Caenorhabditis elegans: one gene and its partners. The protein of the gene in region 4 interacts with the protein of the main gene of each other region in a pairwise test. Each region holds a gene or a part of one and is shown on either strand. Other genes may lie near its edges.

Region 1 (7,677 bases), on a different chromosome or scaffold from region 4:
CCATTTCGAATCAGCTCGCCTTCCCACCAGCCGGCTGCTGATTTTTCACGAATTTTCACAATTTCGCCAACTTTGATTCCCAATTGATTTGGCGCCGATGCAACAAAATCCACGACAACTTTAGCTTCACAGAGGACGGTTGGTGGAGCCGCTGGAGTTGGAGCTTGAGTTGGTGGAGTCGGATCCCCTGCCTGCTGGACTGATATCTCGACATAGTTGGCTGGGAAGATACCCTCACGTCCGTTGCAACGCCCTTTCCACCATTCATCGTTTCTGAAATTATTTTTTGATTTAAATCACTGAAAATTGATATTTTTGTTTTGGTGTCAGTTTTTCAGTTTTTAAGTAATTTTTTTTTGGCTAAAAAACAAGTTTTTTGGGTTTTTGGGGTTTTTTTTAATATGAAGTTTTTTTGGAAAAAAAAGAGTATTTCGGTTTTTTTTTGCAAAAATTGGATTTTGTCGGGCTTTTTTTTAATTTTGTGGAGAAATTAATTTTTTTGAGAAAATATGCTTTTTTTGGTTTTTAAATTTAATTTTTTTTCGGTAAAAATTGTGTTTTTTGGAAATTGTTTTTTTTTCAGGGTTTTTTTTGACGAAAATGACACATTTTTGGCAAAAGTAAGAAAAATTGTGCCTTTTTTGAAAAAATAGCTTTTTAGGTTTTTTTAATGTTAAAAATGACACTTTTGGATTTTTTCTGAAAAAATCGGTTTAAAACAAAAAAAGTTTTATTGGTAAACATGACGCGTGTTTGGTTTTTTTTTTTGGCAAAACTGAGTTTTATGATTTTTTTTCTGGGGAAAAATGTATTTTTTAGCTGTTTTTGTTGCAAAAATGGAATTTTTTTGGTGTTTTTGGCAAAACGACACATTTTTGGATTTTTTTCTGACAAAAATTAGACTTTTTTGAAAAAAAAAAGGTTTTTTTGGACAAGAAATAGTTTTTTGAGGTTACTTTGCCAAAAATAGGGTTTTCCTTGCAAAATTGGAAACAATTATTTTAAAAATTTTGGGCTTATTTGGTTCAAAATGTAATAAATTGATACCCCGAAACCTTTCGTTTAAGCATAATAATAATAGCGCAAGAATACGAAAAGCTATCAAAAAAATGAAAAAATTCAATTCCAAATGAGCTCCTGTCAAGAGCAGCGAGAGCTCCTCTCTCCACTTACTTCTCGAGCACTAGAATTGTGTCACCGACATGCAGTGCCAAATCTGTTGTCTCGACAGCTTCAAAATCGTAGATCACAGTGTAAAGTTGTTGTTGGGGGGCTGTTTCGGAGGCTTGTAATGTCACATCGGAAGGTACCACGTCGTATTGAGCTCCTGCTGCTGCTCCTGGAGCTCCTGCAGAAGCCTTCGAAGGAGACACAATCGGAGTCGTGGTGCTGGTGGTTGCTCCGACTTCTTTCACATAACTTTTCGGGAACCATCCAATTTCGCCGGCAGGATTTCGACCTTTCCATTTCATTTCTTGCTTTTCTAGTACCTGAAATTAATGTTATTAGTTCGAGTTAAGGTGTACCTTCAAAAATCTAAAAAAAATAGTCTGAAATTCAAGAAAAATCGTGAAAAGAAGAAATGGGAATAAAATCCTAAATTTTTTTTCAAATTTTTGGAAAAATTCCCCAGAAACCACGCTCATTTTTTTGCTGAAAAATAGGTTTTTTTGGGGTAAAAAAGGTTTTTTTTGTTGAAAATTTGGGTTCCTTTGTTGATAAAAATGGGTTTTTTTTTGGTAGAAAACAGGTTTTTTTTTAGAAAAAAGAGTTATTATGGGGAAAATGGTTTTTTTTGGGAAAAAAGGTTATTTTATAAATCATACAATTTAGCTGAAAGATAGATTAAAAATCGATTTTTTCACCGAAAATCCAATTTTTTTTTCAAAAATTCGTCAAAATCACATTTTCAAGCTGTTTTTGCAGGAAAATAGGCTGAAAACTCCTAAGAATTGGCTTAAAACTTCAAATTTTTCAAATTTTCTGCCGGAAAACTTGTAAAATCTCATTTTTTTCAGGTTCAAGCTCAAGAATTTCAGACAATTTTTGGATTTTTCGCAGCAAAATGCTCTCCACCTCAATTGTATCTCCTTTTGCAAATGACAAATCCTCCTCATTACGTGCTCTCCATTGGAATTGTGCAATACATTGAGATATTACTGCTGCTGCTGCTGGAGCACTTGAAGCAGGTGGAGCACCACCTTCTGTCAATCCCATTGCCGCTGCGATTTCCGCTTTCCGCGCCGCTTTCACTCCAATTTGATCTACTGATGAGCTCGGCGTCATGTTTGGTGGCATATTCTGAATAGGTGGATCACCGCCTGGAGTAGGTACTGCTGCGATTGCTTCGACGAATGCTTCTGGGAACCATCCGACTTTCTCACGAAGTTGACCGGCACGCCATCCTGGTTCAGCTGCATGGGATTGGAAGACGATTATGACGTCTCCTAGAAGAAAAATAAATAAAAATTAACTTTTTCTCGAATTTTTGCCTTTTTTTTGTCAAAAATGACACTTTTTGTTAAGTTTTTTCTGACAAAAATTGGTATTTTTTGGGAAAAAAAGGGTTTTTTTTTCACAAAAACGGGGTTTTTAGGTAAACATTGATTAGTGATGGTTTTTTTTGTTGCCAAAAACGAAAAAATCCAAACTTTTTGAAAAATTTCAAAATTTTTTTGAAAAAACTGCGGAAAAATAGTTCTTTTTTCCAATAATTTTTCGTAAAAATTTAAAAATTCCTGAATTTTGGACGTTTTCTCCTACAAATTTCAAAATTTTTGGAATCATTTTCAGCTCAGTTTGAGAATTTTTGAGTAAAATTCCTTGATTTTAGTGGAATTTTGCAATTTTTCAGTTTTTTTTTTCGAAAAAATTCAAATTTTCTGAAATTTTTCACATCTTTTATGCATTTAATTTGTTTTCCATGCAACTATTTCAAAAATATTAAATAAGTCATTTTAAATGAGAGATAAGAATAAAAAAATTGAAATTTTCTTTTTTTTTGGCTTTTTTTCTGGAAAAACTCTTAAAAATTTTAGATAAATTCCTTGATTTTAGTGGAATTTTGCAATTTTTCAGATTTTTTTTTGGAAAAATTTAAAAATTCCTGAATTTTATGCCAAACTTTTTCTCCTACGAATTCCGAAATTTCGAGCTTTTTCCGGAGAAGCTCGTAAATCTACACAACAAAAGGCCATTTAAAGGGACATATTGCTGTTCGGACAGCACCTGGTTCAAAACTGAGCTCATCCTCGGATCTTGCTTCAAACGCAAAAAGAGCTCGACACTTATAAGTGTCATGAATATTGAACGCCGATTGATCAACAGCACCCTTCGAATGAGCTGGCGCCTGAGCAATCTGAGCAAATGGATCCGCTGTCGACGTGGCACCGAAATCCGCGTCGAAACGTTGACTTGCATCGGTTTTATCGAATTCTCCGAATGCATCGTTGAAGTTTGCAGGGAATCCGTTGGTGGTAGTAGGAGCTGGAGCAGGAGCAGGAGCTGGAGCAGCTGAAGCTGGAGCAGATTTCGCTTCAAATTCCCCAATTTTGCTCCTGGCATGTGTCTGAGCATGAACCAGAAGCTCAAACGAATTTCGATATTCTTCTCGTTTTGCGACAAGTTTCGAATAAACATCAGTCTTATACTTTTCCTTATTCGTCTTTAAAATCTCCGTCTGATTATACGATTTCTCTTTTTCTGTGGATAATTCCAGAGCGGCATCTTCTATAGCTTTTCGAATAGCATCTCGTTTCCTTCGCAGTGCTTCTAGTTCACTTTTTCTCTGCGTTGTCTCCTTGTGAGCCGACTGTTTTTGTAGAAGCTGATGGCCGAGTTCTTGAGATTCGATAGCTGTCTGGAACTTTTTTGGGTAATTTGCATATAGATTAAACGCGTATTACCTTCTGATTAGTCTCTTGTAATTCTTTAATTCTCGCGACTTTCTCGTCTCTCGTAGATCTCATTCTCTCAATAAATCCAGTCACTTCTGCTACTGCTTCTTTGGCTTTTCCAATGTCCACTTCAACATCGATAACCTTCTCATCAAGTGCTTGTAATTGAAATTGCAGCGTTTTTTCTCGTTGCTGACGTTGTGCAAGACGCTCGTTCTCTTGTTGCTTCTGGTTCTGAAATTAGGGATTTAAATTTGGTTTTTTTTTATCATGAGTAAATAAAATTTCTGTGTTCCAAAAGTTCAATTTTCAAAAGAAAAACTCAAAAAATCGCCTAGAATCCACATAAAAATTCCATTTTTTCTGTTCAGGCATCTGTACCTGCATCTGTTTAACTTTCGCCTTCTCCATTTGAACTTTTCTCATTTTCTCGTCCTCCTCTCTGCGTCTCTCCATCTCTAGCCTCCGCTTCTTCTCCTCTTCCTCCCGTTGAGCTTCAATTATTCTCTGTCTTTCTAGTTCAGCTTGCCGCTCAACTTCAGCCTGTCGTTCCTTTTCTTGTCTTTCTCTATTTTTCTTCGCTTCTTCTTCTCTCTCTTTCTTCTCTACTTCTGCTCGTCTTCGTTGCTCCTCTTCTTCAAGAACTCTACGTCGTCTCTCCAGTTCTGCCTGACCTTTAGATAGGTTATCCTGTCGCTTATCTTCAAAAGTTTTCGGAGCTGGTGACTTTTGTGGTGGCTCCGCTCCTGGTTCGAGTTCAGGGGTATTGTTGGCTGATCTTGATGAGATTCCGCACATCCGGACAAGTTCCAGCGGGGTTATTTTTGGAAGCGCGAATCCACTCTGAAAAAAAAATTTTTTTAAGTTTTTCAGCGGAAATTTTTATGGTGTTTCATGATTTTAGGGTATTTTCCGATTTTCGTACAGAAAAATTTGAAATTTTGAGATTTTTCAGCGTTTTAACATGAAATTTTGCTGAAAAAAACAAGCAAAACGTTGAAAAATCCTGTAAAATTCACTGAAAAACTATAATTCGTGAAGAAAATACAACCGTGCGGCAGTGTTGCGAAAACTCGCGCCGCATGTTGCAAAGTGGGAGGAGCGTCCACGTGGCTTGACTTTTTATTTTGAAATTCCAAGTTTTTGACAAATAAAATTGAAAATATTCCTTATTTTTGTTGAAAAAACATGAAAAATACAATATTTTCAGATGGAAAGAACCTTTTTCTACATTTTTATATCAATTTTAGATCAGAAAAGTTGGATTTTCATGGAAAAAGTGCAATTTTTGAATAAAGAGCTTCTGGCCGGTAACAAAACACATACTTTGAACATTTCAATCATATACTGAGAAATCGCATACTCATCCACTGATAGCTTTCCATCCTTATTCACATCTGACAAAAACCAGATATGCGCGAGAACATTGGTAGGAAGGCCTGAAAGCCCGAGAGCACTCCGTCCGACTTGTGAGCTCAGGGAGCCCAGACGTTCCTTGTCGAGAGCATTAAACAATTGAGAATATTTTAATTTATTGTGGTGAGGAATCGCCCAGTTTTCCAGCTGCCGGCCTTCGAAGACATTGCGATCATTATTCAAAGGGCTTCCAGCTGAAATCGAGTTGTGTCTGCTAGATGGAGTTCCGGCAATCGAAACCGGTGCAGATGGGATGTATGACTGCGACATTCGACGATCAATGGCCGGTGGAAGAGTTTGTGAGTAGTCTACACTGCCATGCCGGCTTCCAGGCCAGGTTGGTGGAGCATTTCTGGCGGGAACTACCAGCAGGGAAGGCGGAAGTTGCGGAGGAATCGGAATTCCGGCAAGACAATTCAGAGCAAGTCGCATCGCGATAGAGTATTCACGAATATCGAGCCGGCCGTCTTTATCCAAGTCTGACAGCGCCCAGATCTGGAAATTGTTTGAATAAAAACATTTTTTTTTTTAAAGTTTAATATCAACCTGAGAAAGCACTTGCGTTGGCAGATTGCTGCGCATTAGTGCATTTCGTGCAGTGACCGCATCCATAAACGGTTGTCCTCCGGTTAATTGGCCGAACATTGCGAAATTCTTCTGATATTCGGCATCGGAAACTTCCCAAGGATTTGTCATCTGGAGAACAGGGGATTTTTCGACAAAAAATGGGAATTTCGCAACAAAAAAGGGAAAAAACGAGCCATATTTTTCTAATTTAACTGGAAATTTATGCGAAGAATCAGCGAAAATGATGAAAAAACACATGTTTTTGGGCAAACAATAGATTTTTTTGAGCCGCTCCGCTCGCCAGCTGCGTCGCGGTCGTGGCCGTGGCCTAGGTTCCCTCTCGGCCATTTCTGTAAAAATTGGCCGCGGCGCGGCGCGGCCGGCGAGCGAGGCGGCTCAATAAAATGTAATTTTTTGGCTAAAATTCGTGATTTTTCCCTAATTTAGCTGGAAATTTCTATGTAAACTTCCCACGGATTTGTCAATTGGGGGTTTTTCGATTAAAAACGCTAAAAATGCGAATTTCGCAACAAAAAGAGAAAATGCGCCGAAATTTCTGTAAATTTGGATTCAGGAACTGAGAAATAAGAAGAAATAAGAAAGAGGCCAAGCGCCGCCGAAAGCTTATCGATTTTTGCGTGCCCCAAAAGAGGAGTGGTCCCCGAGAGCGCGCGGCGAGAGATGCAAGAGACGCAGAGAATTTTAAAGGAATCAAAAACCCCTTTTTTATATATTTAAAAAAATCAATGTTTTTTTTTTCATTTAAAACTTTGCATTTTAAGAACAAATTTTAGTTTTAGAGTGAAAAATCTCGTATTCTTGAGTTTTCTCCAAATAATTTTGAGCTCCAATTGATTTTTAAATGTTCTTTCAGCCTTGGTGCATGAATTAATCGGTATAATCGCGGAAAATTGAAGAGAAATTCACTTAAATTTCAACTTATTTATTAATCTCTGGTCATGGGAGAAAAAAAGAAAAATAGAGAAAACGCTAGAAAAACGCGCGCGCTCACCTTGCCGACGCTCGCCCCGCCCACAAAAGCGTGCCTCGTTGCGTTTTCGAATTTAGCAGGGCAGTTGGTTATTATTTCCATTTTCTATCTGTTTCAGGTTCGCAGTTTGTTTTTTGCATTGAATTCTTGATATTTTGAGTTTTACGTTGTATTCTGAAGTATTTCCGTCAGAATTTGTGTTTAAAAATCGTAATTCTCAGGGTTTTCCCGCTGAAATTGAATTTTTCGTCAAAAATCATTTTTTTTAGTGAATCCCAATGTCGTATGGTGACGGGCTCTCCGGAGCCGAGTACCTGGCCTCAATCTATGGTACTGAGAAGGATAAAGTCAATTGCTCGTTTTTCTTCAAGGTTTGTTGTGGATTTCTGTGAAAAAATTCAATAATTAAATAATTTTTGCAGACAGGAGCCTGCCGCCACGGAGACAAATGCTCCAGAGCCCATCATACACCGACATTCTCGCCAACAGTTGTGCTCAAAAACTTCTACCACAATCCGGTAGTGGATGTCCGTCAGGCGGATGCTTTCGATAAAGTCGGCAAGCGGAATGATCAGGAACAGCGCTATTTTGACGATTTCTACGAGGAGGTTTTTGTGGAGATGGAGCGAAAATATGGAGAAGTGGAGGAGATCAACGTTTGTGAGAATATCGGAGAACACATGGTCGGAAACGTATACGTCAAATTTATGAAGGAAGAGGACGCCGAGAAAGCAAAGAATGATTTGAATAATCGATGGTGCGTAAGCTGAAGCTGCTGTGTTGATAGGGCTCAAGCTGAGCTCAAGT
Region 2 (4,571 bases), on a different chromosome or scaffold from region 4:
ATCAGTCATGTAGAGGTTATCCGATGTAAAATCATAAGCCATTCCTTCACAGTTCATGATTCCAGTAAGTCCGTGAACTGTGTAATTTGTGGATCCAATCTTTTGCACTACAAGTGAATGCCTTCTCAAATCATACATCAGAAGTTGTTCTCCTTTTGGATCAAAAGTCATTGCACTCGGACGTTTGACATTCAGAAGATCTGAGACTCCGATGATCTCTGTCCGATAGTTCTTGTCGAATCCAAGGATCTTGATCCTCGAAGGTCTTAACTGAGCAAGAACAAATAATTCTTCATCTTTAAGATCTTTCGAGGCGGAACATTTTGTGTTATTCTGAATGTACCCATCTCTACAAAAACACGACGAAGTTTGATTGATATGCCCTATACACATATCATCACACATTGCCGCTTTGCAAATATTCTTTCCCTTGTTCTTCCATGCATGCTCATTTCGTCGAAAGTGCAAAACTTCAAGGATCTGAATATTCTCGTTCCCTTGTTTTCTCTGAGGTGTCACTTCCTGCCAAATCTTCATATCAGAATTCGAATCCAATGCATTCATTGCAAATACTCGATTGTCTTTCAGTGTCAGAAACAACCGACCCTCTGCGTAATCAATCATTTTAACTTCTTTCGCAATTCGGCCACTAACAATAGTTCTTGAGTAGTTTGCATTATAGTCAACGGCTTTGATGGATCGTGCGCCAATATCCACAAAGTATAATGTCTCGGTGAATGGGTCAATTGCAAGTGCAGGAGAAGTAATCGGTTGATAGGATAGTCGGTATCGTTGACCAGATGCTACATCGATTCTCCATATTCCTTGTTGTAAAACATCAACTTCAGATACCAAAAGCTGTCCGTTCAATCCATCATACTTCATATCTTGAATTGTTCCCATATCACCTGCGGTAACAGTTCGACAGGACGATATTCGTACACTATTATGCTTGCAAATGAATACATAATAAGAAGCATCCGTAAAAATCCAGTTGTTACCAATATTATCGAATCGTATGATGTGAATAGAAGACAAATCAAAATCAATTGCATAAGTCTTGGTTGCAGGTTCGGAGCCTTCAACATTTCCGCATGTGATATAACTATCATTTGCCGATGGAGATTCGGAGAGACAGAGTATTGGAACAGTGGCCTCCGGGAAGTCAGGATGCTGGATGACAAGAGTCATTGCTCCGGGTTTTCCTAGTGGTCGAGGCATGCTTGAATAGCTAGACATCTTGTTTTTCTGAAGCACAAAGAGCTTTTTCTTGGTGAGAATTGCTACACTGGGGATGGTTTCTGAAATAAGTTTTTTGTTTTTTTTTTTTTGAAATAAAAGTGTTCATCAAAAAAATTTTAAACTCACGATCTTTATCAGCCACACAATGCGTTCCATTGACAACTGTGAGCCTGGGATCGAAGCAGGAACACGTGAAAGTACCGTTCTTGTTGTCAGTGCAATCTTGACTGCATACAGGGGGAAGTCCTGAAAGTCTACTTTTCACTTTCTGAAGTTTTTTAAACATTTATTTCCCATGTTGTTGCTTTGTCTTATTCTTAGACGTTTTTGTCGATTTCTCATCGATTTTTTTTTCAAACTTCGCCCGTTTTTTTTCTTTTTTCTAAATAAAAAAACGTTGAAAAAATTTAAAGCAAAATTTTTTTTTAAATTCATTCAGGGGCTATTTTAAAGTTCATCCTAACAATTTGAGCTTTACCTTTTTAAAACGTAGGAAACGTAAAACTGTTGAATATTTTTTCATACTTAAAAAAAAACTCACCATTTTTGGTTCGTTCACAATGATTTACAAATTCACATTTTCCTTGCTCATTCAAAAACTTGTTCTTCGGACAGTAACACTTGATTCCATCAATCGTCATTGCTGCTCCATACTCACAACTGTCGGCTGTCTTTGGATCTTCCACGTGGCACATCGAATGCTCATCCGAGCCATCCGAACAGTCGCGTTTACCATCACAGAATTTGAAGAGAGGCACGCATTGTGCGGATTTTGAACACGCGTACTCGTTGTAATCACAGTGTAGTGGTTGATTGCCTGGAAAGTTTAGACATGAAGCGCCACGAAAATAAAATTTTCAAAGACTTACAAAGTTCAGGAGCTTCATCAGAAAGGTCGCGGTCTCCGTTTGGAAGACGTCCACAGTCGTATTGCGAATCACACAAATAGCCACGTGGCAGACATTTACCCGTTTTGCACACAAACTCGTTTTCTAGACACGTTCGTTCTGAAATTGGAATAATTAAACGAATTTTGTGGTTGAAATATGTTCTCAAAAAGACAATAGAAAAATTAAAATAGCAACTCACTACACGTGGAAGGCTCATCTGAACTGTCCTGACAATCTGGAAACCCGTCACAATACCACTGTTCCGGATAGCATTTTGGACCGCCCGGCGATTTTGCATCGCATTCTCGCATCGGTGCAACACATTCTGGGTAGTGGGGTTGGGTTTCTGAAAAAGGTTTTTTGATTCCGAAAAGTAAAAAAAATACAGGCAATTTGCTATTTTTCCAAATTTATACGGCTTTAGAATAAAATTTTTTCAAACTATTTGAAAATTCTCGATGCATTTACACACTTCACGAGTAAATTTTACTACACTGACATGGCAAAATTTTCCGAATTTTGAAAATATACAGTATCCGGTCTTAGTACAAAAATACTTCGTTAAGCGTAAGAAGGTGTGTGCCTTTGAAGATTACTGTAATTTCCAACCACTTGTTTCTACAAAACTTCATTGATTTTTCAACACATTTTTAGATTAAAAAAAATCAACGTCTTTGAAAATTACTGGCGCCCACACTTTACATTTAACAAAAAAAAATTTCGTGACTGGATCGAGTACCGTAGGAAAAAAGCTCACCCTCCGCTGACGTCTCATCTGACTGAACGAGGCTGAAACCCTGAAGGGCAACAAGAAGAATAACTAAATAACGGGCGGAGAGCATCGGAATGTGTGCAGCACCTTCATGGAGAGTCGAGAGGTACAGGTTTTGACTGAAATTAGCAAAAAAAGATGAAAAAGGAAAAAAGGGAGACAAGTTCAAAAGTCAAAAAGTAAAACGATTACGAGAAATCAATGTGATTTTAATTCAAGAACCCCCTTCTGTCTAATTGCCATTTCGTTTCGGTTCAGATGACCCAATATATTGTAGATGTTCAAATGGCAATAGAGAGAGAAAAGAAGAAAGTAAGACATTTGGAAAAGAGAAGGAAAGATGGCGATGAGCCAAATGCAATAAACAAAATTAAACTGACAAAGAGGAAATGTGAACACGAACACGAACACACAAGATTTATAAAGTATGAGGCGTTGGGGGAAGGGAAGAAGGAGCAGGAAGACGAAGTCAAAAAACAAGTTTGCTCTTTTTTATGAGATTTTTCTCAGAAAGAAGCTAGCAAAAAAAAAATCCATTTTTCGCTTTTACCGGAAAAGGTAACCGAGCAAAAACTAACTGTAAAACTCAGCGATTTATTAATTTTACACCTTTTTTAAAAATTACTTTTGGAATTTTAAATGCAAGTATTTTTAACGTATTCAATTTTTTTGGTTTTCTTGTGTTTTTTTTTGGTTTAGATCAATTCATAAAACGAATTGTATTAAACTAAAACACAAAACTAAAAAAATACTTTTTAGAAAGTAACATTCCAAATTAAAAAAAAATTTATGGAGTCCCTCAAGGAGTATAAACTAAAACTATTGAAGCTCTCCACGCAAGAATCCTTTTTAAAACCCCAAAAAGAAAATAACCAAACTACCTACAATTTTGAGATTTCCCTCACCAACAGACAACAAGGCCAAAAAAGGTACACGAGTAGAGAAGATGAGACTCAGACTGGTCGAGTAAAAATGAAACAATGAAAAATAACTTTTTGGTGATTCGGGGCAGTGTCAAAGGCAATTGGCAGGCGACGACGAAGAAGAAAAGAGTTATGTTTTGGTACATAGGCGGCGATGAAAGAAATGGGAAAGGAAGGTGGGGGGGGGGGGGGGGGTAAATGGAACAGTATGTGGACACAAAGAGGCAATTTAATAGATTGACTGTGAAAACGTTTAGCGTAAGTACATTCAATTAATAGTTTACAATACTGAGAGCAAAAATATAAGTTTTCGTTTTCTAGAAATAAATTGGCACAACTTTAGCAGATTCTCATAGATATCAAAAAAAAAAATTTAACTGCAAATTTGTAGAGTTAGTCACGATAAATGTTTTGTCAGTTTACAACTTTTTAGTAAAATCAAAAACTAACGAAATATGGACGCTGTAGTTTCAATAGTTATGGTTAAGTGCAAAAGTTATGCAAAAAAATTGAACAGCTAGCACGCGCACCTTCTAAAAATTTCAAACATGGCGTCTGCAAGAGTACGCTTTTTTTGCTCCACTGAGACTTTTTTATGAATAAAGCGAACTAAGAGCTCCTGAATAATTTCATCCAGACCGCACACATTCGACGCGCAACAATAAAAAAACGGAATGTGATCCGACAAAAAGCGGCAAGTAAGTAGGCAATAAAACTGGAGACATTCATCTCTGGGTGTCTTTT
Region 3 (5,530 bases), 2.4 Mb from region 4:
AAAATATGCGAACCTCACGTTCTTCAATGTAAAACTATTGGTTTGTGACTTACAACTTTAAATTTATTAGTTTTTTAACAAGAATTTTCAGGCACAGTTCATCAATGTCTCAGCAAAGCTCAAGAACATATCATTGACTTCAAGTCGCTAGCTCAAGTGGCATTCAACGAACTGAATCCGTTCCCTCAGAAGACTATAGAAACTAAACGACAACTCTATTTGACACAATTGAAGGTAAACAGTAATATATAAATAAATTCTAATATAGCGATTATTATTTTCAGGATACTGGCCACTGTATGTAAATCCGACACGAACATTCTTGTACATCTAATCTGTATTTTCTTTCGATTTCTAGCATAATTATGTCTTCTTCACACAACTTTTTCACTATTATTTTCAAACTTCTGTGATTCTCCTTTTTCCTTATCAATTTCTTTTACGGTTTACTTCCCCCCCTTCAACCCGTTTACTTGTGCTCCGTTTTTACACATGAGACTGAAAATATCAAATACGCAACATAAAATTAATCTGCAAATCATTTACTATATATTATAACTCATAATTTACATAATAATCATGCATATTCATATTCTACAGTATATAACATTATTGCTCTGATTTCATAACCTAGAAAAGTGACAATTCAAGTGGGAAAGTGCAAAAAAACTAATCTTAAAAATGTGCATCAATAAATTATGTCGATGACTTGGCACAGGTAAACATTTGGGCAAAGTAAAACAATTTGACTGGCGTTGGGGCTTATAGTGGGTAAGGTATAATTATTAAAAATCAATTGAAAGCCGATCCAAAGTCCGCAAAATCAGCGAATCCAGCCGGTTGAGTTGATTGTCCTTGTGATGGGCTGAAATTATTTAGACTTTAAATAAATTGATACTCACTAAGACTTACGCAAAAGGATCATTGACAGGTGTTTCGCGAGCAGATTTTGGAGGAGCTGGGCGAGGTGGAGCAGGTTTTGCGGGAGCCGATTGTGCGAAGCCAGAATCCGATGGGAAGCCTCCTTGAGCAAATGGATCAGTTGGGAAAGCGGCATCAAAATGTCCAGATGAGCCGAACTGATCTACTTGGGCGAATGGATCAGCAGCAGGATCTGGAAATTGAATTTATGTTATATATTCATATTTCAAAACTTTAAGTCAGAATAAAAGTTTTCATAACTCTTTTTGTTTCTTAAAAATATAAACCTACTTGCTCTGGCGGATGCAAACGGATCAGGTGGTTGTTGAACATGATTTTGAGATGATGTTCCAGCTGTTTCTCCATAAACAGTGTCATCGGATAGCAACGATTGATCGATTACAGTAGACAATAATCGTTGTTGCGACCTCAGAATTTGAACCATTTCCTCCTCGGATTTTTCGACTGCATCTGATACTTGTTCTGTTAGTTTTGTCGTGTTCTCGATTGCAGCATCCAGCTTTTCCATTTGTATCTGATCTCTTGCTTCTTTTCGTTCTAGAGTTGTCAATTCGGCCACCTTTTGCTCTCTTTGTGATGTTTCTTTGACAATTTCTCCACGAACAGTTTTGAATTGATTATCGAGCATTTCAATTTCTTTTTTCAATTCTTCCATTTCTTTTTCATCATTTGCTTTACAGTCCTCAGCATTCTTTGCATCTTCATCAATTTGTTGCATTCGTTTCTCGGTATCTTCTTTCGTTTCTTTCTGTGCTTTACATGCTGATTCTAACTGTTCTATTTGAGTATCATAATCAGCTAATCTTCGTGTGGCTTCACCTTTTTGTCGCTCCAACTGTTTAACTGTCGACTCCAAGGTGGCCAATTCAACCTGCAGATTTTTGATACTCGAGTTCTTAATAGTCATATCAGCTTCTAGTTGTAAAACAGCTTCTTCTGCAGTTTTCCGCTCCACCAGCATTGATTGAATAGACTCTGCGAGCTGCTTCATCTCTTCGTTTTCGCCTTCCAAAGCTTCTTTAATTTCCATCGAAGTTGCTTCTGGGAGCTGTGGAGTTGAAACTGATTGAGCAGGATGATGCAAAGCTGAAGGTTCCGTAGGTGGGCGGAATGAAGGTGGAATCAGATGTAAAGGCAGTTCTGATGGGATGGACTCGCCTCGTTTTGCCATGTCAAGAAGATGCATTCTGAAAATTAATATTTAGTTACACTAGATATTTGGTAAACTTGAAAGACTTACGTCAAAGCAAATTGCTCCAAATTCAACTGTCCACATTTTTTTATATCTGCTAATGCCCAGACATGTGCTAATATCTGTGCACTCAATCCAGTAGTCATCATGGGAGCTCTCATATCCATGCCATCAACCAATCCATCCTTATTCGTATCAGTTTGAGCAAATTGATCAGCATAATCTCCTGTATTGATAGGCCATTCACCAGCAGGAAATGAGTGAATCGAGTGAGAAGCAGATATCGGAGTTGATGCACCACTGGTTCGTGATCCATTCACATGAGCCTGTGCAGAGTAAGCACGACCTGGTTGTGGTGGATATGCACGTGGCATCGTTGCAGAATACGATTGACTCATGTTCACATCATCCAATGACGTCACAGATCCTGCTCTCGATCCCATCATCGGACGTGGAGGATGTGGAGGAGCAGCGAAATTCGGTGAGCTGTGAGCATACATTGCTTTCGAAGGATGAATGAGATTTGGTGGGAGCTGTGCAGGAACCGGGTCTGATTGAAGTGATCGGTATACAAGATGAAGTGCAACAGACATTTCGATTCGATCAAGGTTTCCATCTTTGTCCTGATCCGAAAGTTCCCAAATTCGAGCCAGAGCATGAGCATCAAGTCCAGAGTTCATCAGAACCGGGCGTACGTGTGCACCAGACAATTTTCCGTTTACAGGATTCAATGATTGGAAGATGGAGTCATATTTAGCCTGAAATAATTACAAGAATATTTGATCAAATCTGTAAAGGAAAATAACTGTCAATTCTCTATTCGTGCCAATAGAAAGATTTTTTAAAAGTTTTTAATTCTCAGTTTTTGCTACCTGGTCAGTTGGTGTTATCGGCCATTGTGGTGGAAAAGCTGACGATGGATGAGCTGGAGAAGATTGTTGAGAAGAGATCGAATAAGGATGTGATGGATGTGGTGGTGGTGGCACTGGAGGAGCACGGCCAACCTGAATAATAACACTTAGAAATAGAGGAACCACTTTTCAGTCAAACCGATGGGAACGATGGTTGGAAATGATGCTGCATGTTTGCTGGTGGTACAGGTGGTGCAAACCGTGGTGGCTGAAGGGAAGAATCGTAGAGGGAAGAATTGGCGACGGGCTTCCCTGAAATATTTTGCTGTTAAGGTTACTTTTGAGCATATCGTATTTTCAACAAAATATGATTCCAAATAGGTAATAAAAGTTACCTTGTTGAGCAGCTGCGACTAGTTTAAAAGCAACAAATGCTCCTCTCTTATCTAATGATCCAACTTTTTGAGAGTCGCTAAGCTCCCATATCTGGCCTAACACAGGCATCGCCAAGTTTGATTTTTTAAGGAAAGTAGCTGCTTCTGCAGCTCCTATTCTTGGTGCTCCGTGAGGGTTCATCTGGAATATAACAATTGTTAACGTATTACAAATTGTTAAATATTTACCTCTGCGAATGCGTGATTAAAAACATCATTGTGCGGTGTAGCTATCGCGTATGAATCATCCATGTTGAAAGCTGAAACATTCCAGATAATAAAAGAAAAAAATTAAATATAGTGAAATTTAAGACTATTTTTAAATGAAACAGAAATAAAAGAAAGTTCACTAAAATGTATTGAAGATTGTTAAAAAGAAGAAGGCGTTGCGAGGAATAACGTCGTGTGTCTTCTGAATGAAAGCTCTCTCTCTGCGCCTCTCAACTACTTCCGAGCACTCTAGTACATCGATTTTCCGTCTCTTTTAAGCTTTCGTTTCCTTTTCATGTCGGTCCCTTTTCTCTTTTGGTGAACCAACGGAGGAAGAGAATGTGAAATATGCAAAAGTATTGAGTTTCAGTGGGAAGAGTCCCGGCCCTCTATGATAATGATTACAAAACAAATATATTGATTTAAATTGTAGCCAATTTTTGAAACAGGAATATATTTAACATTTTTCATTAACGGTGAGATAAAAAAATATCCCAATAACCCTATAATATATAATTATTATAAATAAACTAATTCGCAAAAGACTAAACCTGAATGACTCATTGTCGCAGTTTGTCGTCACTGTGTTTACACACACATTGTCAAGTTAATTTTATTCTGTCAAAACGGGAGAAAATAATCTGCGTATAATGCAATATTGTTTGCAATATATATTGTAATATTGTTTGCAATATATATTGCAAATAAAGCGTCTACATCGTAATTATTGAAAATAGTGATAAAATTAAATATTCAACAGATAGCATTAAAAAATCTTGCAACAGTAAATGAGAGAATTAATTAAAATCGTTAAATTAAAAACAATTAATTCTGAAAATTAAAATTTTCACTGTCGCGGACGAGTTTTCAGAAGCGCTCTATTGATAATTGTGAAAAACTTCGGCCGTGAACAACACGAGGACAATATCAAGAAACAGGCGAGCATTCGAAATATATTATTTGTAAATACAAGCAAAATAAATCAAATACACCCGTTAGTGGAATGTTTTCCTATATCATACATCTAATTTGAATATAAAACTCAAATTATCGTATCCCCATTGGCGAAATTTTCCGATTTTAACACCCAAAATACGGTACCGGGTCTCGACACGACTGATTTTTTTGAATTTAAAATCGTGTCTTTGAGGAGTACTGTAGTTTATTTCAATTTTCCAAGATTACCTTCTCATGTCCCCAGAATTAATTTAGTGAAAATCAAGGGAAACACAGGACACAATAAAACATTGAGTTTCGAAGACCTGGGACTAATTAAACAAAAGTAAGCCTGAAACCGCCTATCCTGAACCGAATGGCAATTTTGAAACTACTCCAGTTAGCTAGAAAAATATATATTTTGAGCAATAAAAATGTTTTCCGAGTAATCGAATGATAAACACAACAATGAAAATGAATAATTGTTTATTAATAATTGTTAGATTGTTAGATAGATAAAATGAAAGTTCTTTCAAATGCAGTCAGCTCCATCTTTCATCATCTCTTATCTATGAATTCAAGGCATTGCATATGATCTTGTTGATAATTCTGAAATCTAAAAAATTCGTTCTGTTAGTTCTCTAGAAACGGCTCTCGAACATACAACTTCTTCTCAAAATGATACATGCGAGGAAGTTCTGTAACAAAGTATTCAAAGAAAGTTCGTATATCACAATATCATATTTTGAAATTTGGAAACATGGTAGACAATATTATTTTTCAAATTATAAAATCAGCAACCAGTGAATCAGGAAAAAAATTATTTAGAAGTTCTATGGGTTGTATTCGATCGGAAGATTCTTGCAAGAAATATCTGTAGAAACAACGAAGCGACGAAGCCAGCTGATCTAGAGGATAAGCGACAAGTGTATATATATTCAATTTACAGAAAGAAACAACACAGG
Region 4 (8,033 bases):
CCTTTGGTGGGTTTAAGATATGCTCAAATGGATTCTTTTTTGTCTCCTTGATACCCTGTCCACCAACCAATGCGTCCATATCAACCAATTTCGTGAAAGCTTCTTCAAGCGACGTCACCTTCTTTTCACTCCAGGTTTCGGCCCTGAATCTTGTTTTTGATTATTATTAATTTAGGTTTTAGAATATCACTCACTTATTATCTCCAAAGTTGGCAAAAGTGCTGGCGTGATGCAATGATGACTGCTGTTGTTGGATATTAGTAGATGGTGCCATATTCTCTTTCGTAGTCCCAGTTCCAGTCCAATCAATATTTGAATTTGGAATAGCAGAGGAATGTACAGAGAATGGATCACGGTATTGTGTTGGAGCAACAGTTGGAAGTGGTGGTGGCGGAGCTTGAGTATTGAAAGCCGACGCAAATGGATTAGTATCCGAGAATCCGTTTGTTCCGAAAGCAGGTGTACTATGAGCATGGTGCATTTGTTGCTGCTGTTGTTGTTGTCCCCAAGCGTCAAATGATCCAGCTCCGGATGTTGGCCAATTCTGATGAGATTGTTGAGGAATTTGAACCATTGGCATCTGCATTTGTTGAACTTGTGGAAGTTGAAGTCCTCCAAATGGCACTTGAGTTCCAGACATATTTGCAGTTCCATTTGACGTGGCTGTACTGTTGAAGCTGTCTACGAAAGGATCTCCAAATGGTGATGCTCCGAAGGCATCACAGTTTGTCGGGACAGTTGAAAGTTGTTGAACTCCTCGTTCAATTTGCTGAAGTTCGGATTCCAAGTCGAGAAGATCAGCGACGGCGACTCCACCTTCCTTCTTGCTCTGGAACTTTTATAAAGTCATAACAATGGACTTTTATAATTTAAAAATGCATTGGATCTTTGGAATTATTCTAAAAACTCACACTAATTTCAGCTCCACCATCTTGAATCTGTTGTTGCTTAACTTGCTCAATCTGTTTTTTCTTCATTTCAAAAACAACTTGGAACATGTCTCTGATAGCAAGAACTGCTTGATCAGCTGCCTGTGCTGTTTTGATTCCATAGAACTTGTACTTGCCTCCAGGTTCACCGTAAACAAGTCCAAAAGCTCGAGCATCAGAAGAATCACGAGCGATGAAAGAGATTCTTGATACTGGGAAATTATGAAGAACAGCGCCGCTCTTTTCATCAAGAACTTTGATTCCATCAATGTTGATTTGAAGAGTAATACGTGTTTTGTGAGCTCCAGCAGCCTTGATAATACTCTTGGCAGTTCGCATTGCTTCAGCACACATTGCATCTCCTCGAGCCTTGTCCACATCTTGTTCTCCGATCAGCTTTCCCTGAAATAACAATTTTACAAAAACTACTACATGAATCATTAAAAAAAACTCACCTTGTAGGAAATTCCATTGTTTTGAAAGCGAAACGGATCCGATGATGCATTTGATGCTAAAAAGTTTAAATTTTAGATTGATAATTATAGAGTAAATCATACCCCGCGCCTTTTTCTGCTTGAATGATTTGGAAAACGAACGCCCTAATTGCGTCTTTTTCATGATAATTAGGTATTCACTTAAAATGAAATTTGCAAAATCTATTAATGAGTTTAAAAGTATACAAACACTCGTTAGAAATCGATATAGAAATCACATAGAGCGGGCGCTAGAGAGCGTAAAGAGATAAGAAAACGAAGTGAGACGCAGAGAAGAAAGGAGCAAACTTTCTGCTTGGCAGATCATTGTCACAAGTTTTTGGGGGAAAAGAAAGAGTGAACCAATAAACTTTGAACTCTTTCCTGAAAATGTTATAGATAACAAAAAGATAACATTATCTATCTGTTGAAAATTGGCAAAAAGGCTATCTTCTCGTTAAATTATCAAATTGATATCTCTACATTCACAATTGGATACTCTCAAAAATTGAGAAATCATTTTTTCGGAACTCAGCTATGTTCTCACCTTTCTTGGTTCTCTTCAGCATTGCAAGTCGGGACTTTGGTGATGGTGGATTTGGTTTTCCAGATGTTGCATTTGCCGTTTCCACTGATATATCCGACTTTTGAGCCATTGTTTCGAGAGAACCTTTAGAAATAAGATTTATTACAACGAAAAAAAAATAGAATTTAAAAATTACAGTAAAAGAAAACTAAGAGTATAACAAAGCTTTTTGGAACGAAAGTGAGACCAAAAAGAATTGTGAGGTGGTGGTGGGGGATAGAGTGTGAAAGGAGGGTGAAATCATGATCAGCCCCCTTGGGGGCACATGATCGACCGGTTTTCATCTCCATATCGGAATAAAAGAATACAAAAAAATGAAGACGACCGTGAAAAAGTGCAGTAGTCATTTTTCATACTTCAAGGTGACAAGTTGACACTGGATATGTACTTGTTATTACTTTCGAAATGGAAATAAGAAAAAATGTCGGATTCAAATAGCAATACTTTTCAAAAGCACTATGCAATCTTGAAAATAATTCTTAGGTAAATAAAGTTATTTCATACTGACAAATATTTTGAAGACACACCTTTCCAATTTGAGCGACGATATATTCTAATTAATTTATGACATGATTCAGAATAATATTTCAAAAAACGCGAGATCATTACGTAGACGTAATCTAAAGTTGATACGAGTTACAGTAACCCGTTGTCCGCGTGGCGAGACCGAGCGCGTAAGATCTGGCGAAAAATTCTATGAAGCCGAGAAATTGATTTTTTACAAATATTCAATTCAATCTTTTTTATTTTATTACAGTCAACCTTGAACTAAGAAAAATAGACTGTTCTTCATTTATTTTGCGGTCAGGGGACATTCTTTTACATCAGCTGATTACAATCTTGACAGGAATGGGAGTACGTAGTGTGTGATGTAGTTAGTTTCATAAAATCGAGATCAGGACTGTAACTTAATTATTGTAATAGTCAATGCATAATAGAACACTAAATCACAGTAGAAGAAAGAAAACGAAAACAGATTGACATTGTTAGTCATCCAAACCGAAGTGAGTCACTACTGTGTTGACTGGAGAATACGACAACTGTGAGGATCTGAATTATTACGAAATCAAGAGAAATCAGCCATAAAACTATCGGAAATCGTTTGGGCGATCCCAAAACTCTTATGTGTAACAAAAACGACAAAAATAAAGAAGATTTGTTGACCAACAATCAGGTAATGTCGTCAAGTTTTGCAGAGAAACATTTCATGACTAAACCAAATAGGGAAAATCAATACAAATATGGAACAATAGCCAGAACGACGGAAACATGGCCAAAAGGTGTGCGTAGCTTTGCTCAGCAACCAGACGATCAAGTTGCTCTCACACTCTCTTCTTCCGCGCGGAAACTCGCCGGAACACTCCTCCTTTTCCTCCAAAACTCAATGTGTGCTTGACTACTAGATTTACAGGACACACACACCTTCGGGGATGCCGCCAGTCATTTTGCAAACATGACGTAAAAGAAAGACAGCTGCAGTCAGTCTCTTGTGAATTTATCTGCCTCTATCTGATGTCCTTTTACCTCTCTGATCTTGATGATTCCTAGGCTAGGATCCCCCGTTACGTAACATCTTGATTTCACATTTTGCTGCGTTGAATTAATGCGTCACCTGGACAGTGGATGGGAAAATGGGCAAGAAAATCGAAATATTGGAAGAAGATGTTAGACACGAAGGCAAGAAAAATCTTGTTTCTCTTTTATATGGGTTAGTATCGAATTGAAAACTTGGGAAACAGTGAATAGCAACATAATAATTATATCCTAACCAGCGTAATTTACCAAAATATTTCAAAAACTTTCAAATCGATAGGGATAATTTGAAATCGTTTTAGGGTACTGCACATTACGCAAATTTTTTGTTCGGTTCAAAAATAATTAAAATATCATTCTTATTCAGCATTATTATAAGGACAAAAATAAAGGAACAACATTAATGCAGCTAGGTCTATTAATGTCAAATCCGTCGGGAATCGTAATAAGCTTAGCTGTCAGATACGGAAACCTAAGTATTTACACTCATGTCGAGTACTGTAGCATATATTCAAATGAGGCAAACCAAAAACCGGAGAAACGGAAAACAAGCAGGCGTCAAGAATGAGAATGAAAAGAAGCAGAATAACGTTCATCTAACTGAATACTTCGTCAGCACCATCATCATCAACGTCTCCTACATCTACTAATCGGAGAAATCTCAACACACTTGTGATCATGGCCATCATTAGAAAATTACTATTAATATAATGATGTCTTTTTTTTCGTTTTCGCTTCTATTCAAGTCTGATGCGATGATAAAATTCTGTTGATGACGACGACGAAGCGGCGGCGGACGTTTTATGAAAATCAGGTTCTTTTTCGGAGCGGAAATTGAAGGTGACCGTTGAAAACACAAAAAGTAACTTCGAAAAAATGAATTTTATTTCTTTTTGTTGTTGTTATTGAAAACAAAAAATCGAGAAGAGAAACACCCAAAATTCTCAAAAGCATCAAAACAATTATTGGAAAGAGACCGTACTACGAAGGGATTATAATTCCAATATGAACACACAATAAAAGATGCGAAATAAGAAATGTGTTATACTTCTTCAACACACAACAATACCATCTGAAGGACACACTAACCAAATCGATCGAACACGTAAGTAATTGGAGTTGAGGTCAAAATTGCAGCCGAGTCAGTAGTAGTAGGCGGAAAGAAACAATAGTGACTCATCTAAACAAAAGCATGAGTGGGAGGGACGGTGAATAAAGCGAGGGACTTTTCGTGCCGAGACCACGAGGATTGACGAATAACATCTATCGATTCAAGTAATTGAAGCGGAACGAACGCTTTTTGGTGTTGACGGGAGGATTGGGTGGGGACGAACGGCGGGACAGGATAATTACCCGAAACTGCGCAGAAAAAAAAACATGGACAATGGTTTCAAACCAAAATTGTGAAGATCATGGAAACTAAATAATAGAGACAAGAAAACGAAACTTGTGAGTACCAATGGTAGTTCTCTAAAATAGAAAGTAAAATAATGTTTATTTACTACAAAGCATACAGAGAAGATGTAGATTAATTAACTACTACTATACTAAGCTCTATTGAAACGGGAAACCATGTCACTATGCACCATGTCAACAATATGGTTCAGTACGAAGCGTTAATTTTTTTGGAAACAGAATGTATTTATCTCCAAAACTCTTTTAAAACCCGCATCGTTTCGTCTAAAAACTCAGATAAAAAGGTAGAAAATTTCATTACTAGGGATATTGAATGATATTTTATAATTTTATAATTAAGATATTCGAGTTTTCTTAAAAAAGGACGCCTCAGAAACCACTAATTTTATCATGCATAAATAAAACTGACAGGATCAGATCACCAAAAAAGCCGGCTTTCCTTTGCCTCCACTCAAATTGAGACAAATATCGACTGAAGAGGGACCCCTACTAATGCTGCATGCTGGACATGTCTACGTCTCTCATCCTCTTCTACTTTTCTTTTCTTCACGGACATCCTCCGCGTGTGTATGTGAGCGTGCGCGCACACGAGAGGTAGAAAAGGGTTAAAAACACTCTGCATACAGTCACTGTGTCCAGACCAGTTTTTTGTCTTAGACTGAGAGAATAGTTTTGAGGCGAAGACGAGAGAGAGAAGCGAATAAAATTGAAAGAAATCAGTTGCCTATTCTTCTATTCATTGTCGCAAACCTCGACAAGCATCACCATTACTACGCAGATCGAGAATAAAGTTTAAAATTTTATAATGTAAAGAAAAATGACAAAAATTGAAAACCTGTCTCAAGGAAAGATGAATGAAGTTTCTAACGAAAAAAGAATTGAGATTTGCGCGGGTAGATCAAAGGTTACTGTAGCAAATTTTTTCAAAAACTATTTAATTTTATAGGTCTAAATTTTAAATAAATTCAAACAAACCTGCGAAACGGCGAAATTCTCTCGATTACTGTTTATATTATTCCTTCTCATATTAGATTTCATTTACATTCGCCAGTGACACGATTTCCTAAATATTTATTCAAAATCGAGTCAACGTAAAACTGTGAGCATTTGATGAGAAAACAGAGCAAGCTATATAAATGGGGAACAACCCCAACAAGAACTATGATGAAAAAAAAAAAAAACAATTTTGATGCCCATTTTTATTTGTGGTGGAGGTGGTGATGATGATAATAACGGAAGGACAATTAGTTAAAACAGGAAAAACGTAGAATTCAAGGAAGTGGAAAATTTAAGATGGGCTGATGAGAGGATATTAAAATTAACCAATTGTCACAATTTCTAGAAGATCCAGGAATCAGACCGAAGGCACTGACTTACACACAATTAGGAAATTTGGAAAAGAAATGAAGCTAAGAGCTAGTCAAAAGTCTTCGTTTTACGATAAATTCGATGCAATTCAACGAAATTCCAGCACTCCGAAAAAATTCAGCGACTTTTCGACCGTCTCTTAGAAAAGACCCTTTAAGCACGAAAACAAGCATAGCAAGAAATGTTCTCGGGACCAACTGGTATGGAAATATGAAGGGAGAAACCAATAAAAAACCAACAGCTAATTTAGAAACAATAAACAAGGAGACTATGAAAGGGTTATTCAAATAGAAAAACGAATGAAAGAAATGGGAACTGGGAGCAAATAAACGAAACGGGAATCCAAATGAGGATATAAATATTTAATGATTTGGAGGAAAACGTGATATTTTTAGTGATCATCAGAAGAAAAGGGTAAGGTGGGTGGGAAAGGGGCTATAACGAGTTGATTTCTGCGTCTCGAAACGAAAAATGAAGAGAATCTTCACGTTTCGAGACGAGTTGTAGAATGAGCGGAAGTTTGCAGGAAAAATGATCTGAATGTCTGAAAATTGATTTACTTCAGCTAAATCATGATAATCAGTTATTCATTTTGAAACTTTTCTTGCAAACCTCTAACAAAAGAAAAACAAGCAATAATATCGAAAACCATTAATGGGATACCCAATAAGACATAAAATCGGTAGGGATGGACGCGCGGCGAAAAAACGAAAAACTTGACATGTTTAGACCGTATTATCAACAACTCGTTCTTATATAGATAATTAAAATGGGTTTTAGCACACAAAAAAGTTCTCTATAAATCTACTGTGGAGTTTGAAAATCCAAAAATACGATAAATTAGTTGCCCGTCAAATAGCTCGACAACGTTTTTCCATTTTTAAACGTCACTGCTTCCATTTCTGCTGAAAGTCCTTCTTCCATCTCAGTCTTTAACTTCATGTCCGAAAACTCCCACGAGATTCCTTCTGCAGCGCCAGTCACTTCAAGCTCAAGCTCGATCTGAAAAAAATTAAATTAAAAAAATAAACGCAATGTACTGAATCTGAGCACTAAAATTTGCAATAACTCACCAATTGCTTCAAAACTTGAACAAGAAGGTCAAATTTCTTATTTCCTTCTCCTTTGGCAGCTGAGAAAATTGGCTTCATGTCCGCTAATGAGAAAGATTCAACTTCTCCAATTTCGTCATGTGGAGCATGACTTGTGTTCACGAGAACTTCACCAGTAACGGTCCACAATTTGGGATAATCTTGCTGGAGCTCAACATCATTAGCGAATTTGCAGAAACGGGTAGCTCTGAAATAATTTGTAAAGCTCAATAAATCATAAACTCTTGCCTTACCCCTCTATAAAAGCTTGCTTCTCAGTCTTGCTGACCAATGACATCCGCAGAGCAATAGCCAACTTCTTTCGATCATCATCCTTCAAACCTTTTTCGATCACAGCTCGGATAATCATCTCATAGACTACTGTCAATGACGGCGAACCGTATTTTTCTTTTCCAACATAATCGGTGATAGAGTCAACCAATTCCTTTTGGGAGAGCTCACCACTAGACATTTCTAGAAGATCGGATTTAACGGTATTCATAATCTTGGCTCTGACAGCTTTCTCTTCTTCAGTCAGCTCATCGTCGGTCTTGTCAGTATTCGAATTTTGTGATGTGGATCGCCGCGAAGAAATTGACATTGCACTGATTTCCTTTGCAGCAGCTAAAGCGGCCTG

Evidence for each region.
Region 1: the proteins of dab-1 (region 4) and itsn-1 interact in a two-hybrid assay, tested with the Caenorhabditis elegans proteins (3 studies listed by BioGRID).
Region 2: the proteins of dab-1 (region 4) and lrp-2 interact in a two-hybrid assay, tested with the Caenorhabditis elegans proteins (one study listed by BioGRID).
Region 3: the proteins of dab-1 (region 4) and ehs-1 interact in a two-hybrid assay, tested with the Caenorhabditis elegans proteins (2 studies listed by BioGRID).

The regions. Positions count from the first base shown.
Region 1 is NC_003282.8:17,118,015-17,125,691, reverse strand, and holds the start of itsn-1 (Intersectin-1), read right to left. Parts: upstream 6,011-7,677; 5' UTR 6,009-6,010; coding exon 5,859-6,008; intron 5,808-5,858; coding exon 5,223-5,807; intron 4,740-5,222; coding exon 4,278-4,739; intron 4,131-4,277; coding exon 3,906-4,130; intron 3,866-3,905; coding exon 3,229-3,865; intron 2,448-3,228; coding exon 2,077-2,447; intron 1,491-2,076; coding exon 1,174-1,490; intron 274-1,173; coding exon 1-273. Other genes in the region: uaf-2 (Splicing factor U2AF 35 kDa subunit), read left to right, coding at 7,149-7,241, 7,293-7,627.
Region 2 is NC_003279.8:3,950,969-3,955,539, forward strand, and holds the start of lrp-2 (EGF-like domain-containing protein), read right to left. Parts: upstream 3,024-4,571; 5' UTR 2,975-3,023; coding exon 2,890-2,974; intron 2,479-2,889; coding exon 2,332-2,478; intron 2,250-2,331; coding exon 2,112-2,249; intron 2,060-2,111; coding exon 1,784-2,059; intron 1,489-1,783; coding exon 1,369-1,488; intron 1,302-1,368; coding exon 1-1,301.
Region 3 is NC_003280.10:5,818,861-5,824,390, reverse strand, and holds ehs-1 (Eps15 (endocytosis protein) Homologous Sequence), read right to left. Parts: upstream 3,680-5,530; 5' UTR 3,672-3,679; coding exon 3,609-3,671; intron 3,562-3,608; coding exon 3,381-3,561; intron 3,298-3,380; coding exon 3,185-3,297; intron 3,139-3,184; coding exon 3,007-3,138; intron 2,893-3,006; coding exon 2,183-2,892; intron 2,130-2,182; coding exon 1,213-2,129; intron 1,115-1,212; coding exon 913-1,114; exon of another isoform or gene 866-912; coding exon 793-865; 3' UTR 529-792; downstream 1-528. Other genes in the region: tbc-2 (PH domain-containing protein), read left to right, coding at 1-40, 92-234, 285-305.
Region 4 is NC_003280.10:8,220,355-8,228,387, reverse strand, and holds the start of dab-1 (PID domain-containing protein), read right to left. Parts: upstream 6,001-8,033; 5' UTR 5,913-6,000; intron 2,073-5,912; 5' UTR 2,059-2,072; coding exon 1,950-2,058; intron 1,669-1,949; exon of another isoform or gene 1,548-1,668; coding exon of another isoform or gene 1,487-1,547; intron 1,441-1,486; coding exon 1,385-1,440; intron 1,332-1,384; coding exon 912-1,331; intron 836-911; coding exon 195-835; intron 150-194; coding exon 2-149; intron 1-1. Other genes in the region: ifg-1 (MIF4G domain-containing protein), read right to left, coding at 7,146-7,307, 7,379-7,604, 7,651-8,033.